Saccharomyces cerevisiae S288C: one gene and its partners. The gene in region 1 interacts genetically with each later gene. Each region holds a gene or a part of one and is shown in the gene's direction. Other genes may lie near its edges.

Region 1 (6,035 bases):
TGAAACACTAGATGGCCTCTCAAGGTTAGTTTCTGCTTCGCTGTCTTCCGCAAGCTCTAACTCTTCCAGTGACTCAACTACTTTGGTTCTGGACTTATTAAAAGACTCCGATAACCCACAGAATTCCACAGATGCATTGCTAACTCTGAATAATCTGACAATGTCAGAAAAGGCGCAATTGTTACCGGTATTCAGGCTATTCGCTTTCTCCACGAACCAAACAGCTACAATGACGGCTCTGGCGACCTTGATGAACACTACTATTTCATCTTCTTTAGCCCAAACACTATTAACTCAGTTACAAAACACAATTTCAAACGGAGGTTCCCTAAATAACACGTTTAGTACTTTGCAACCACTAGTGCCGCAGGCAAGCGCCCCCGCATTTGATGCAGTGGAATTGCTGCTAAACCAGACCACCTCTACAAATCAGACATTGAGCACTCTATCTGATTTGCTGGAACAAAACCTCACTCAGTCATCATCTGCAAAAAAGGCGTTTGCTGCCTTAACCCAATTGATGGAAAATTCGGACAACTCGACAATGGTTGTCACTTCGGTCCAATCTCTAGCTGCGGTGACAAATACAACTCAATCTACTCAACAGCTAATTGGATTAGATGATGTGATAAGCTCCTCGAGTAACACCAACGAAACTTTGTCCATCTTGTCCGAATTACAATCGGGCCTATCCGGTAATTCAAGCTCCGTACAGTACATTCCATATCTCTTCAGTCTTTTAGGGGCATCCACTGATCCTAAAACAACATTTTCATCTTTAGTGACGCTGACTTCCTGGGCTCAAGAAAACCCTCAGACCTTCTTGCCCATTTTAGATATATTAGCGGATGCCAAATCCGTCCAACCGATTTCCGCAGAAGAATTGAACGCCATGACGCCGAATATACTAGAGTATCTGAAAATTCCGATTTACTATCGCTTATCCATTTTCACGCTATGCCATGCTAACCTGGAAAACAAGATCCTAGATTGTAACTCCCCACATGCTGTACAAAACTTGGATTTTAGATCGATTATTTATGACGCATTAGTCACATCAGACTTCCAACCATATCTGAACGCCCTGAATATTAGCGCCAACGATCTTTACCTAGAAGGGAAACTTTTACACAGAGAGCACCAATATGTGCCAGCAGTGAGGTCTGTTTTGGCTTTGAACCTCTTAGCGATCATCTTTTCCTTCTTTACCATGATTTTTATTATATTACTGTACTTTAACAGATATATGTTCAAACAACCATTATGGCTCATTGCCCTAGCTCTACACGTTTGCGTTGGTGTAGCCACTGTATTGGCAGCCATTATCATATCCGTTATGATTGCCATTATAAAGAGCGGTACGGCAGATGATAAATATGGTGTTGTGTTTAAAGCCGGTCCCGCCTATACAGGGCTGATATGGACAGCATTTGCGTTGTCTTTTATCGCCACAGGATTGATAATTTATACGTGGTGGAGGAACAGACGGAGTGGTCGTTACATGTCCGGATCTGTGACGAATAGGAAAGGCGAAATTTACACGTATGGGGATGGTTCTGCCATTTCTGCAGACCGTTTCGGCGACCATAACTTGGGTGATGATGATGATGCTGATTTCGAAAAACAGGTGAATCGTAATGAAATAACCGCTATCGACAACAGTAGTTCTGCCAATAATACAGATGTCACAGGTAGTACGAGTAATAGAACAGAGCTAAGTCACCCCGACGTGACACCAAAAGATTCAAATGGACCTGTTAACAATAATGCACATTTGGTAGCATAATTTTTTTCTTTTTCGTAAATGCTCTATCACTTTTTTTCAATTGTACCAAACCATTTACAGCGTTATCTTAATCTCTTATATTGAATTATAGTACATACCACACCATCATCCTTATTTAATAGCTTTATTTAAATTTCAAAACAAAAATTAATAATAATTTGGTAATTATTCATATTTTTGGAATATATGCAATTAATGTTCTTTCGTCTTTGATGTATATTCCTTCGGCGTTAATTACAACTATCACCGTAAAGTTTTTACCACCCTCCGAAAGATTAAGGGCGGCAATGAAATGTGGAGTAAAGTGAATGTTAGATGATGATATTGATGGCTTTGCTCGATCAAAGATAATATTATATTTAAGTATCATCTTGTCCTCAATCCGGTACAAAACAAACGTCTTCAACATTGTTATCTGTATTTTGTTCGTCTTGAATATGGAAAAGACTCAAAAGGGATAATAATACAATTAAAAGTTACCGAAGAAAGATTTTATAATGATCTCAACAGCTTCTGCATTTTATCAGAAGCATAGAGTAAATTTACTGCGTTCTTCATACATAATATTGTTGCTAGCCACGCTTTACAATTCAAATTCCAGTTCTAGTAACAACAAAACTGATAAGAAGGATTCTGAGTCAACGGTTTTAGAAAATAAGAAAATTGAAGAGGGAAAAGAAACCGCAGTAGATAGAGAGGAAGATGAAAGTAGCAAAGAAGAGTTAACGATAGTCTCCAAACATAGCACAGATTCAGAAGATGGTGCAATAATAATTGATAAAGAAAGCAAGACTAATCATAAGGGGGGAGAGCGAAAAGGAAAGGTAGATTTTTTGTTCAAACTTTTGCTTCATGATAAGAAGTGCCTCATTTTATTTATTACACAGGCTATTCTTCTGAACATCAGAACATTGCTGTCTCTTCGTGTGGCTACTTTAGATGGTCAATTAGTGTCCACACTAGTAAGAGCTCAATACGCAAACTTCACAAAGATATTGTTGGGGAAATGGATGATCCTTGGAATTCCCGCCAGTTTTATTAATTCACTGATCAGTTACACGACAAAACTTTGTGCTGTCACTATTAATAGGAAAGTTTCAGACTTTCTACTCTCAAAGTATCTATCTAATCACCATACTTTCTATTCCGTAGCTTCTGCTGAATCTGTTTCAGAAATTCAGGATAATTTGACAAAAGATATTTACACATTTTCAATGAACTCGTCATTATTACTGAATCAGCTATTAAAGCCAATGCTGGATTTGATCCTCTGTTCATTCAAATTATTAACCTCAAACACTAGTGTTATGGGTGAAGGAACTTTGGCACTGGGCTTAATTGTCTACGCCTCCAATTCATTACTAAAATTGATTCAACCGAATTTCACTAGGTTAACTATGGCAAGCGCATCTTTGGAAAGTTGGTTCAGATCTTTACACTCGAATCTACATTCAAGCAATGAAGAAATTGCACTGCTAAGAGGGCAAAAGAGGGAACTAGAAAACGTTGATTATTCATTTTACCGTTTGGTGCTATTTTTAAACAGAGAAATAAAGGCAAGAGCTATTTATGATGTTGCTACTGCATTTGTCATTAAATATACTTGGGGCGCAGCTGGCTTGGTACTATGCTCGATTCCAATATTTTTCAAAAACAAACCTAGTGAAGACACCTTACAGCTTAAGGAACCCGGGAATGATATGACGGCTGATTTCATCACAAATAGAAGATTATTAGTCACTGCATCTAGCTCTATCGGAAGATTTGTGGAACTGAAGAGAAATATACAACAATTACGCGGTATCAGATTGAGATTGAACAAGTTCAATGATTTGTTGGATGCTAATAAAGGTGATGACGAAAAAGAACCAAGAGATGAAAGGTGTATAGTGGAATATGATGATTCAAGGATAAAGTTTGAAAATATTCCTTTAATAACACCTGCCAATCAAGTTCTAGTACCGGAGCTAAGTTTTGATCTGAAGCATGGAAATCATCTACTAATTATTGGGCCCAACGGTTGCGGTAAATCTTCATTATTTCGTATTCTAGGCGGGCTTTGGCCGATAAGGGCGACTCCCAATAAAAATCATCAATCCAAGTTAATAATGCCGCGTAGAACTGTGGATAGAGATTGCGCAATATTTTATTTACCCCAAAGGCCGTATATGGGCAATAGGTCGACATTCAGGGAACAGATTATTTATCCAGACAGTATTGAACAATTCAAAGAAAGATATCACAATGATTATGATCTAGGCGATGCAGATTTAATAAAAATTCTGCAATTATTAGATTTGGAGGATTTAGTCACTGAAAATATGTCACTTCTGCTGGCGCAAAGGACTTCCAAAAATGATTCACAGCAGTTGTCGACGGAAGACAATCAGTCACCATGCGCCATTAAAGTTCGTGATGCATTCAGTATAGTAAGAAATTGGTCCGAAGAATTAACAATTGGTGTCCAACAAAGGTTAGCTATGGCAAGGATGTACTATCATAAACCCAAGTTTGCTGTGCTCGACGAATGTACATCTGCAGTAGCCCCAGAAATGGAACAAAGGATGTACGAAAATGCGCAAAATTTTGGTATCTCGTTAATATCAGTTTGCCACAGGACAAGTTTATGGCATTTTCATAACTATCTGTTAAAATTTGATGGTAAAGGCGGATACCAATTTGGACCGTTTAACCCGAAGGAAAGGTTATGTAATGAAGAAAAACTTCTTGAACTAAATGCCATCTTGGATCAACAGGTGCCACTTTGGGAGCGGAAGTTGAAAGATCTGACAATTGCTAAAGAATCCAACATCATTCGTAAATCAGAAACTAACCTGAATCTTTTTGAAAAGATCGAAGATCCAAAAACGTCCAAATCTAATGCATTGTTTAATGCAAATAAAGGGCAGCGAATCACATCACCTACAGGGCAGGAGACTAGTAAGAGATTACCACTATTTTCCCAACCATCTAGTTCAGCATCATCAAATTTACTAAGAAACAATAAAAGCTTGAACAAAAAAGTTAAAACAAAAAAGGAAGAAGGAAAGGAGAGGTAACATACATAGCCAAAGGAGGATCCAAATCATGTATAAATTGGATAAATAAATTGTTTTATAATAATTTAATATCTTGAGAAAGCGCTCATATTTACGGTTGATTGCTCAATTCCATGTACCGGATCCAACTGTACTGGCTTCCTCAGCCTCCGGTACCAACCTTTTTTTGTATAAATACGTAAAAATACAAAAGTCTGAACTATTTTTCCCTTTTTATGCAAATAAACACTTTCCTATATATAATTTTACTTTTGAATATTCATGTCACGACCCACTGCCTGAGAACTTTCCATTTTTTATAAAGTGAACCAAGTTTTATAGTTATCTTGAATCAGGTGAAGTTGAATGTGTTAAGATGGATGATTGATTGTTCATTACTGATGATGGAGAAGTTATACTGGCGACGTTACTTGAGGATGCATTATTATTAGAAACTTCTGTTGTGGACGAAATTATACGCGGCAAGGAATCAATTTCTTGAACGATGAATTCTCTTTCATCAAGAAAAGTAGAATCCTGAGAATCTAAACCGAAAGTTTTAAAATACGTCAATAGTTTATCTCTGTTTTTAACAAGAATGTCAAAAACAGGTTTTGACTTCCTTGGGTTTGCTACCATCACCTTGAATACGTTGAAAGCTTCAAGTTGTAAGTTTTTAGATTTGTCAGTCATTAAAGTCATTATGAGCTTTAAGTTTTCTGGGGAGTTGATATATATATTCATCAACGCGTTGTTAGATCTTATCACAATTAATGAGGCCAACAGTTTAGTGCTCTGCCTTTTCGTTACGTAGCTTCCATGAGCCATTAACTTGTTAATACATTTAATGAATCTTATGATATTAATCTCATTACTGAAGAATTCCTTAGACACTAATTTAGGATGTGCAGTAAATGCGGCACTTAATATTTGTAAAGATTCCGTACTGATTTCGAAATTACCCAGTTTCGCAAACTCAAAGAATTTCCATAGTTGAGGGTCCTTTAATATAATCCTACAAAGTTGTTCGTATTTGATACATTCAATAATCATATTCCCTACCGTTAAAAAGATATCTTGGCAACCCTTTTGTTGTAGAGCAACTTCCGCAGTCCTCAACATTAAAGATATGGTCTTTGGTTGCGAGACTAAATAATCTACTGTGACGAATTTATTATCCTTAGAGTATCCAAGGCATATAGAGAATATAA
Region 2 (4,007 bases), on another chromosome or scaffold:
CTTTTTTGTTCTGCTGACCATACTTACTCTAAGGAAAAAAGTCAAACATAATGTCCATCCTTATCAGTAATATGTGAAAAATTCGCCATGCTGCAGCTAATATCACCAAAATCAGTGTATTTTTGACTCGATACGTATTGTAAAACGTGCCCAGTCCTGCATCTGCATTTTCAAACGGTGTCGTCGACACTGTAAAATAAATCTGTCCTTTGAATTGCAGGCATAACTTGAAAGAAATACACACTTTCGACATATAATAGGCGAACAGGCCTTAAAAAAATTAGTTTAATGACAGAAGCACCACTCTTGTGGATTATCCTGAAAAAGTTATTTTACATTTAATATAGCGATATTGGGATTAAGTCATTTCCAATGGGTTTCCGGTCCAATGGTCCAGTGGTTCAAGACGTCGCCTTTACACGGCGAAGATCCCGAGTTCGAACCTCGGTTGGATCAGAATCTTTTTTATCGTAAAAGATAATAATTTGAAGTACATATCCATAATATAAGGGTGGTCAATATCCAAGATAAACGTCGCATTCCCATTTTCTTATTAAGCCGGTAAACATTGCTGAAATCTGCGAACAGGAATGAATGTTACAGTTACTGTTTATGATAAAAATGTCAAGTACAGATTAGAAGAGAATATCAAAAATAACAAGGGTCCCAGCAACGATGATCAACCAGCATACAATAATGAATCAAAGAGCACGGACGGAAGTGATTATGCAATGTTTCCCACTAACATTAAGTACATATTTGAGGACAACAATGATGAACTAGTAGATTCAAGTGATGCTGCTTTGACAGCAGGAATAGATAAGGTCGGAGATGAACTTGAAAATGTCATAATTGTCCAATTGGATGAATCGGGATCTCTTGAGGATATCACACTAATCAGCGACCAATATGAGCTTTTGTCACATAGGACAAATAGTCTCAGCTTGGAGGAAAACCAAATGAGAACATTATCATCACATGGTGATGATAAATCTAATGATGAAGAGGAAGAACTTAGCGTTGACAGTGATAGATTCAGAGTGGACTCGGACATTGAGCTCGATGTAATTTCACAATTTTGCGATCTGTCTCCTTTTCTTCGCGATTTGAGTTTGAATGACTTAATTAAACTCTACGTCACACAAAATGAACAATTACAAATGCTCTCCAATTCCGTATGAAAGCAAAAATGAAGCCGCATGGATGAGACTCTCTTAACTTGTTTATGTAGGTATATGTTCTCTATATTTTATGATAATTCTGCAAAATTTGCTGGCATCGGATTTATTTTGATAGAATAGAATTTTTCAATTTCTCTAAGTTTTGCTAAATCAGCTTTGGTAATGAAGTTTATAGCCACACCCTTTCTACCAAATCGACCACTTCTACCGATACGATGGATGTAATTTTCTATTATTTCTGGTAGGTCATAGTTAATGACTAAAGAAACTTGTTGGACATCAATACCGCGCGCCCAAACATCCGTCGATATCAGTACACGAGAATGACCTGTTCTAAAATCATTCATTACTTTATCTCTTTCTTCTTGTTTCATATCACCATGCATGGAGACTACAGCAAAGTTTGATTGGATTAGCCGCTGAGATAACCAATCTACTTTTTTCTTGGTGTTACAGAATATCACACATTGTGTAATGGTCAAAGAATCGTATATATCACACAGAGTATCGAATTTCCACTCTTCTTTGTCAACATTAACGACATATTGTTTGATACCTTCAAGTGATATTTCATCCCTCTTCACTAGGATTTTAACTGGATCATTCATAAATTTTCTGGTTACTTCTAAAATGTCCTTATTCATTGTTGCGCTGACAACAACAACTTGGCAATTTTTAGGCAATTTTGCAAAAATATCGTATATTTGTTGCTTGAAACCTAGTGTCTCACTCAATAATTCATCAGCCTCATCTAAAACTAACATTTGAACATTTCTTGTTTGCAACATTTGTTTCTTAATCATGTCTAATACTCTTCCTGGTGTTCCGCTAACGGCCTGGCAACCATGCTTTTGCATTTTCTTCAGGTCGTCTTTCAAAGTTTTACCACCTGTAATGGCAAATGCATTGACATTCATATAATCCCCTAGATTTTTTACTACTTGCCCAATTTGGCTTGCTAATTCACGTGTTGGAGATAGTATTAGAGCTTGTAAATCTTTCTTCCTTAAATCAATAGCTTGTAAAAGGCCGATTGTAAAAGTTGCTGTCTTACCTGTACCTGATTGTGCTTGTGCTATAACGTCCTTGCCCGAAATAATCTGTGTAATAGCCCTTGATTGGATAGAGGATGGTGCTTCAAAACCGTATGAGTATATTCCTCGAAGTAAGTCATCTTTTAGATTCATGCTTTCAAAAGTAGAAGACACCTTTAATTTTTTCGATGTTTTAAACTTCAATTTTTGGTCTTCTTCTCTGTCAAACGACATGTCTAATGAGTTTTTTTTTTGTTTCTGTACGGTCTATTTTATTTGAGTGAACAAATTTTTATACCTCTTGAAGGAGTGGTGGCCCTTTTATATTAAAATTTGTGTATAATTCATGTTTTTATTTTGTCTGGGCCCTGCTATTATCTAGCTCATCGCATAAAATAAAATTTTCAAACTTCGGCATAAATTCTCGACACTGATAGAAAAAGCAGATCAAATAGTAAGCAACTATGGATTGTACGCTGCCATCACGGATAATTCAATTTATCTGTACATTTTTCCTAGAGCATACCACAAGGGAAATCGTTTTTAATTTTCGTTTCCTGCATTAACAATTAGCGAGATAAATATTACAGGAAATGGACAGAAAAGCTGTCGAAGAAAAAAGAATTGTTATTTCTATCGGTGGAGGGCATGCTACTGGTGTTGGAGCAATTGCACTGGATTTACAAAATACTTTCAAAAGCCTATATAACTCTATCAATATAAGGGTAATAAACCTAGATAATATGATAGAAGGGAACATCAAGAGCTACAATAATAACGACTATGATTTTGATAATATCCTTAATTTGGTATATGAAAAGCACGCTGTAACTTCTCAAAATGACATGATTCAACATGATTACGAGGACCCGATAGATTTGATAATAGTATGTGGCTGTTATGCGCTATACGATAAACGCATCAACGAAATATCTCAATTAAAAGTATTCTTGGATAGTGATGCAGATAAAAGATTAATTAGTCTAATCAAGAAGAAGAACGTAGGGAGCAATGAACAACTAGCCCAGTTGATCACTGAGTATATGGACCATCTGCGCCCGGAGATGCAACAATATATAGAGCCCACTAGAACTTTTGCAGATTTGATCATTCCTTCTACAAATGAAAATCTAGGGCGCGCAGTCCTCGTGGACGGTATAGTTAAAGCAATCGAAGATACCAAAAGCCAAATAGAAGGCAACAATACGAACAACAAAATACGCCCACGTTTATGGGATTTCGAAGCTGAAACAATGGACTTGGAGAAAGATAGATATTACGATCTGTCATGAGGTCCTTGCCTTCTATATCTGCGCCACTTTTAATCGGCTCGATGCGACTAACATCCGTATTTACCCACACAAGCTTATTGATTTTTTTTTTGCATTCTTGGATCTCGATGGGCGCTTTTACTCCATTAGAACCATGCTCACGGGAAGCTGAGTTCTTACTTAGAGCTGGTCATAGATATCACCTATTTTGTTCATCGCCGTGACTTCTTTCGGCAGGGCGACTCTGCTCAGGAGCCCTGACTCGTGTTGCCTCGAGTAAACGGTATGTCAAAAAGAATAGGTCCAAATATCATATATATAGCACCTTGAACCCAAACAAATCCAATTACAGTACCCGTAGCTCACATATGTAGAAAGAGCTTTGCCTGGCACAAGCAATAATGTCTATAATCAAAAAAATTGTGTTTAAGAGATTCAACTCAACTTTGAAAAAAACTGCTCTTCATGACCTTCATGTGTCATTAGGCGGTACAATGGTACCATACGCAGGATATTCCATG
Region 3 (2,930 bases), on another chromosome or scaffold:
TGGCCTAAAATTTGCAAGTCTGATGGAAAAAGGAAAAATGGTCTTGGATGGATCCTCAAAAGAGCGTCTTGTAACGGAATATTAAAGTGGAATATAATATAAGCTGTTAATAATAATGACGTTTCTGTATATCCGTCTTCGCAATACATGAACGTCAATAATTCTTGAACTTGGGATACTTGAAATATTAAATAACAAACATTCAAAAGAATTTCCACAGACTGAATGTTTAAGTTCCCCAAACCTATACTACCTGAGGCAGGGAAAGTCAAATGCAAATGCTCTTGTGATTTTGACGCATCATCGTCTAATAAAAGATCTAGATATGTTCGGATTTTCGTTAACGACGGCATTTGCGAGTTTGACGTACATTTTATGATCAATTTCCACACCTCTTTTGTATTCGGTATGTTATACAGTTGAGAAATGGAGGTTGTCGGATTGTCCGTATCATAATTTAGAGACTTTAAATTTACTATGCTTGTATTCTCTTCGAAACGGTGGGTCAGAGATATATTGTTTTTTTTAATTATTTGATAATTATGCCAATCAGTGGTGTTACCGCAAATCAACCCTGTTTCCTCCAATCGTGTAGCTGAAGTCAGCTTATTCAACTCTAACTTCTCGCACAAAACCATATTCTTATCAACGTTATTGAAACACACTATTTCACTAGGTGACGAACATAAATTCAAGGGAGTATTATTCTTGAAAAATTCGTTGTCTAATAAAGGTGTACCAATCAAAGTTTGAGGTATATCTGTATTGAAATTCTGATAAGTGCAAATAAAAAGATTCGTCTTGTAAAGCGATCCTCCACTCCCTACATAACCCTTTTGAACAAACATTAAACAGATCTGTAAAAGTAGTGCAAGGGTTGTACAATTGGGGCAATTTCCCTCGTGTGAGCACGCTGGCGCTGATTCTGTTTGCATATCAGTGCTGCCACCAGTCCGCGAACAATAAATTACTATATTATCAACCATTTCTATCATCTTGGCACATTGCAGGTCGAACCTTCGGAATAGACCTCTCCTTCCCCAGACGTCCTGCCCACTCCGTTTTAGCGTGGTATTAGACCCAACCTTGTTTCTAGAATACCTTTTAAGTTCTAATGATAGTCCACGAGGATCTACTTTCAGAAATGGTAAAATGCTATGATTGTGACAATAAGTAGCAGCGTTTTCCAAAGCAACATCATCCACTTGCAATTCCAATTGTCGTATCTGAAACTTTAGCAAGTTCAAAAGTTCCTTTGTGTTATTGGGATATTGAAAACCATTAGAATCATTTCCAGTTTCACAGGTATCGCCCTCTCTATGAAAGGAAGTGCGAACTTTCCAGGACTGGAAGATATCATTCACTTCGAGAGAATTACGCAAAAGCGCAGAATTGTTAGCATCTGATTGCGATTTGACTATTGCAAGAGAATGAGGAAAATCGGGTGGTTGACCAAAGGAAATATCATGAGCCCAGGGGAACATTTTTTTACATTCAGGCCATTCTGCATCCTGATGTAGTCGCATAAGATCATGCAGTTCACCAGGTGTGATTGAGGGCACTTCCAAAACCATGGTTGTTGCTCTAGTTTTCTATACCCGCCCCTTCTACCTCAATGACAATCTCTCTTTTATGGTTGGTGTTTCTTTTCACTTTTTTACTTCTTCTTGTACTTTTCTTTTTGAACCTTAAAAACTCTTGCAATTATGTTTCCATGATGCTTTTGAAGTAATAATTTATTTTTATTACGCGAAATTAATGGCCTTAACAACTGCCTGCCCCAACAGATAAAAACAAGCAAGGGTCAACCGTGTTGCAAAAAAAATGTCCAACTTAGTTAAAGAAAAAGCACCTGTCTTTCCTATATCTAAAGTAAAGAAGATTGCCAAATGCGACCCCGAATACGTAATTACATCTAATGTAGCTATATCAGCGACCGCATTCGCTGCTGAGTTATTTGTACAGAATCTCGTCGAAGAATCGCTGGTCTTAGCACAACTGAATTCGAAAGGAAAGACAAGCCTACGATTAAGCCTAAATTCTATAGAAGAATGTGTCGAAAAAAGAGATAATTTCAGGTTTCTAGAGGATGCCATTAAACAACTGAAGAAGAATAGCGCACTCGACAAGAAGAGAGAACTAAACATGCAACCGGGTCGGAGCGATCAAGAGGTTGTTATAGAAGAGCCTGAATTGCATGAGGATGATGGTGTAGAGGAAGAAGAAGAAGAAGACGAGGTATCCGAAGAAGAAGAGCCCGTACACAATGAAGAACTTCTTGATGATAGTAAAGATCAACAAAATGATAAATCCACGCGCAGTGTGGCAAGCTTGCTGTCGAGATTCCAGTATAAATCCGCACTAGACGTAGGAGAACACTCCGACTCTTCTGATATCGAAGTTGACCATACGAAAAGCACCGATCCTTAGTGTTGTTGCTATTATTGCTATGTAATTACTATTCGATGCAATATGTTATACATATACATACACGCAATGAGAACCCTAACCTTGAACTTACTATTTTAAAAGGACATCTCGAAAAAGCTTAGGGATAATTAATATTTTGTAGGTTAGAGCTGTTATGTAGGGAAGAAAAACAAGGGCTTTAAAATAATAATCACATTACACGAATAACTTAATTTGTCTTTCTGAAATGGAAAAAGAAAAAAATGACGACTGTAACATTGGATGAATTAATACTGTCATTATTGATACGTTGTTAATTATAGACAGAAATGTATTCAGTACAATAGAACAGTGCTCATAATAGTATAAAGGGTCACAATGTCCAAAAAACAGGAATATATTGCACCAATAAAATACCAAAACAGCTTGCCTGTGCCACAATTACCTCCTAAACTTCTGGTTTACCCCGAGTCTCCGGAGACGAATGCAGACTCCTCCCAACTAATCAATTCACTATACAT
Region 4 (4,009 bases), on another chromosome or scaffold:
GTTTTTCCTCAGTATTAGGTAACTCAATAAACAAACTCTTATCCAATCTGCCCGGTCTTAACATAGCAGGATCAATCATATCAGGTCTATTAGTGGCGCCAATCACAAAAATTCCCCTTCTATCGTTCAGCCCATCTAATTCCGTTAACAAAGTGTTGACGACTCTTGAGGAGGATTCGGACAAAGAAGTATCTCTTCTTGGCACCAAAGCGTCCAGTTCATCAAAAAATATAACACACGGTACAGACGCCCTTGCTCTAGTAAAAACTTGTCTGATGGACCTTTCTGATTCACCAACGTATTTATTTAATAATTCAGGACCTTTGATTGATATGAAATTTGCACGAGATTCATTGGCAACAGCTTTTGCTAGTAACGTTTTACCACAACCTGGTGGTCCCCACAATAAAACACCACCAGGGGCGCTAATTCCCACTTTTTCATAAAGCTCTGGTCTCTTGATGGGTTGCACAATAGCCATATTTAATTCAAGTCTAACTCTTTGCAATGCGCCTACATTAGCCCAAGTAACATCAGGTACCGTAGCGAACCCTTCTCTCTTTGCTGTTGGTTGAATTGTTGGCAACGCTTTCAAAAAATCTTCGTACTTAATCGATAATAATGATAACTGCTCTCCTGATAAAGGCTCAGGATAATTACGAATAAATTGTTGGACTACGGATAAAGGCAACGGATCGATCATATTCGCAGTGTTCTTCAGGCTAGATTCATCTCCGTTTGCTGTTTCATCAATTTCCATGTTATCTTCTGAACTGTCCGTTGCCGTAGTTGGTGTGGATTTTATATTAGCATAGGTTTGGAAAATTCTTTTAATAGCGCATGTACCGGCAGCAGTAACTAAAGCCTTTAAATCAGCGCCAACAAAGCCTGGGGTTAATTTTGCCAATTTGGCAAAATCGATAGCACCATCAATTTTTAGGTTATCAGACATTTTCTTTAAAATATGTAACCTTGAGACTTCATTCGGGACATTCAGGCATATTTCTCTATCGAATCTACCTGCTCTTCTCAATGCTGCATCCAAAGAGTCAGGTCTATTCGTGGCACCTATGATAATAACAGGTTTTCCATTTGTCTTTTCCATCGTTAATTCATCCATTGAGGTCAATAATTGGGCAACTATTCTTCTCTCCATTTCTCTTTGGGCTCCTCCATCACGTTTTGGTGTAATGGCATCTATTTCATCAAAGAAAACAAGACATGGTGCCAAGCTTCTCGCTTCATCAAACAAATCCCTAATCTTTTTCTCGCTTTCCCCAGACATACCACTTACGACTGAAGGTGCAGAAATAGATATAAATGGGACTTGTAATTCTCCAGCTAACGCATTAGCAATCGACGTCTTACCGCAACCCGGTGGGCCATGCAACAGAACACCTCTAGGTGGTTCGACACCCGTGGATAAAAATATCTCTGGATGAAGAATGGGTAGACCTATTAGTTCCATAAGTTGTGCAACGACATCATCCATACCACCTAAGGATTTCAGAGACGAATTAGGTGGAGATCTATCTTCCTTGATTTTTTGACGTTTTACCTTACATGTACCTTCTTTGGATCTTTTTTTAGATTTTTTAACCTCTTCTGTCTTAGGATCATCAGTTTCTGTTATAGACTCGGAAACAGATCCAGATTTGGACCACGTGCTAGTTATGCGTTTGTTCATCTCATTTGTGTCTCGCTCAATCATCATATTTTTCTTAGCTAGTTCTTCTTCCAAGCTTGGTTTCTCTTCCTCTTCGTTGTTGTAACCTGGGTAAGAACCAAATTCTTCCAATTCTGATTCAATCACGTCTTTTAGCATGCGGTCAATTGTCTTTTGTAAGACAACTTTCTTAACTCTTTGAAGTGATAAATCTTTAGTCAAACAAAAGGTAAAAATCTCACCTGCTGTTAAATCTTTAGCGAAAAACATGGATTCAAATATATCCTCATCTTCTTCACCCTCGTTGTTCTCGCCCTCTTCTCCTTGGGATTCTTGTCTCAGAGACCTTTTTCTGTCCAAAGTTTTTTCTTCCAAGAGACGATAGATAAGATCGACGATCTTGTTATCTAGAGAACTTGTTAATGAGTTCTTTTTCGACTTTACTTTAACCATTATTCCAGCCTTCCCACCACGTAGCTATTATCGGCCCTAATGATCTTTTATTCTAACTGACTCGCAGATTAATTCACACATCGGTTGTTAATCATTGTTTGAATTTCCAAAATATGCGATGAGCTGAATGAAAAATTTTGGAACCTGTCACTATCGACGAACATCGAAGTTTGCCATGACAACCATATATGAAGAAAGCTTATGAGACTAGCTCGAGTATATCATACGTATGCATGTTAATCGCAGTTAAGCGGATAACACAATGCGTAAGCCTTCTATTACGATAACAACAGCAAAAGCTATTATAACTCCAGACTATACTCTTATTAAATCGCATTCTAAATACCAACTTCCTTCACGTTTTCAAAAGCTAGATGCAGACTCACCTGAGAGAAGTACAGTTGTTAAGCTATTTTACCGCCGATTTATGAGGCTTAAGCCTTTCATATCGAATGTGAAAATGGTTAAAGATACTTACAGGGATTATGTTCGATATAAGTTTATGAAAGAAAACTACGAACTCAAACGATACTTGGTATTCAATCCTGATGGCTTGAGGTCGAAAATCAATCTTGAGCTTCTCAGCAACACGAAATGTTGTGAAAGGATACTCCCCGTGACTGAGATGCAAAGAACCTTGGAATTTGTTCTGAAGAGCTGTTCATACTTGCCCGAAACAAAAGTTCAAAAGTGGGATATTGCAAGGGACAACACATATTGCAGGCAAATTTTAAAGAACCTTTTAACAATGCAATATGAAAAGTACAGATCGATTTTGCATAGAGGAATAGGCCATGATGAGCTTGACGTCAAATTCTCTCATTTGAAAACTACTTCTAGTCCGCTAACTAAGCTAAATAAAACCGAAAAGAAAAAGATTCCGCTTTTCAAAGTATTTAGTGATTTCGATACAACATTGATATATCTCAATGAGACATTAGGTACAAGGTTATAAAGATCATTATCGTAAAAGAGGAGCGGAGCGGAGCTTTTTAGTATGTATGGTAAAATATCAATCAAATACTGTAATAGATGCGGATATGCGCAATGACATATTTTGTGGTGTGCATATCCATTGAAAAGGTGCGTAGAACGTTACAATACTACTGAACTTTTTTCCTTCTCATTTTCTGCCATTTTGATATTTATGCCTATTATTGGTTTGAGCTTTATTAGAGTTGGCATAATTATAATCGTACTCGTATGTATATCCGTATCCATACCCATATCCGTTGTAATAAGTGTTTGGTATATATCCTTTGATGGCTTGGGCTCCTCCTACCGTCGTTATAACAGGCATTTTGTGGCGTTGTGGTGAGGCTCCTGATTGGCTGGTATTATCGATGGTCGTACGACTTTTGGCATTATTCATTGATCTGAAATTGCCATTGGTATTGCTATTACTGGTGTTACTCTTGCTGGAGGCAGACCCTAGAACAAATTTTTTAATTATTTTTTTAAATATTATTTTCGTCTTTTGTGTTTCCAAATAATTGGATAGTAATTCGATTGCTTTTGTTAGAGTATTCTCATTAGTATCCTTTTCAAAAGTAAAAGTGATAAGGTCCTTCTCAAAAGTTACAATTATGTTCATAATTTGCAAAAATGGAACAACAATTAGGTTATAAAATTCGTATTCTTTATTGGGATCTATCTCTTGATCTATTTTGAACTCGTATTCATAACCAAACGCACTATTAACCAATTCGTTAGCGGCTCTTGATGCATTCTCATCATTTCCTTGTATACTCAATTGAGATGTTCCATCCAAGGGCTCTTTTAACGGTATCATTATGTAAACATTTTCGTTCTTTTCGATTTGTCCTATAATATTCTTTTGGCCGTTAACATGCAAAATATGTCTATATTGCCCACTAGAAAATCTAATGA

The links.
Region 2: mutations in PXA2 (region 1) and DAS2 together harm fitness more than expected from each alone (negative genetic interaction), as found in Saccharomyces cerevisiae (one large-scale study listed by BioGRID).
Region 3: mutations in PXA2 (region 1) and DPB3 together harm fitness more than expected from each alone (negative genetic interaction), as found in Saccharomyces cerevisiae (2 studies listed by BioGRID).
Region 4: mutations in PXA2 (region 1) and IRC19 together harm fitness more than expected from each alone (negative genetic interaction), as found in Saccharomyces cerevisiae (one large-scale study listed by BioGRID).

What each region holds. Positions count from the first base shown.
Region 1 is NC_001143.9:85,035-91,069, reverse strand, and holds PXA2 (ATP-binding cassette long-chain fatty acid transporter PXA2), read left to right. Parts: upstream 1-2,283; coding exon 2,284-4,845; downstream 4,846-6,035. Other genes in the region: FAT3 (Fat3p), read left to right, coding at 1-1,786; HYM1 (Hym1p), read right to left, coding at 5,167-6,035.
Region 2 is NC_001136.10:485,246-489,252, reverse strand, and holds DAS2 (putative uridine kinase DAS2), read left to right. Parts: upstream 1-2,808; coding exon 2,809-3,507; downstream 3,508-4,007. Other genes in the region: ATG31 (Atg31p), read left to right, coding at 591-1,181; ATP-dependent RNA helicase FAL1, read right to left, coding at 1,250-2,449; GCV1 (glycine decarboxylase subunit T), read left to right, coding at 3,888-4,007. UniProt on the Saccharomyces cerevisiae protein: Putative uridine kinase identified in a screen for mutants with increased levels of rDNA transcription.
Region 3 is NC_001134.8:758,470-761,399, forward strand, and holds DPB3 (DNA polymerase epsilon noncatalytic subunit), read left to right. Parts: upstream 1-1,824; coding exon 1,825-2,430; downstream 2,431-2,930. Other genes in the region: tyrosine/serine/threonine protein phosphatase PPS1, read right to left, coding at 1-1,574; PAF1 (Paf1p), read left to right, coding at 2,788-2,930. UniProt on the Saccharomyces cerevisiae protein: As accessory component of the DNA polymerase epsilon (DNA polymerase II) participates in chromosomal DNA replication.
Region 4 is NC_001144.5:71,028-75,036, forward strand, and holds IRC19 (Irc19p), read left to right. Parts: upstream 1-2,381; coding exon 2,382-3,074; downstream 3,075-4,009. Other genes in the region: putative AAA family ATPase RIX7, read right to left, coding at 1-2,119; YLL032C (uncharacterized protein), read right to left, coding at 3,243-4,009. UniProt on the Saccharomyces cerevisiae protein: Involved in sporulation and maintenance of the mitochondrial DNA. Is probably involved in a pathway contributing to genomic integrity.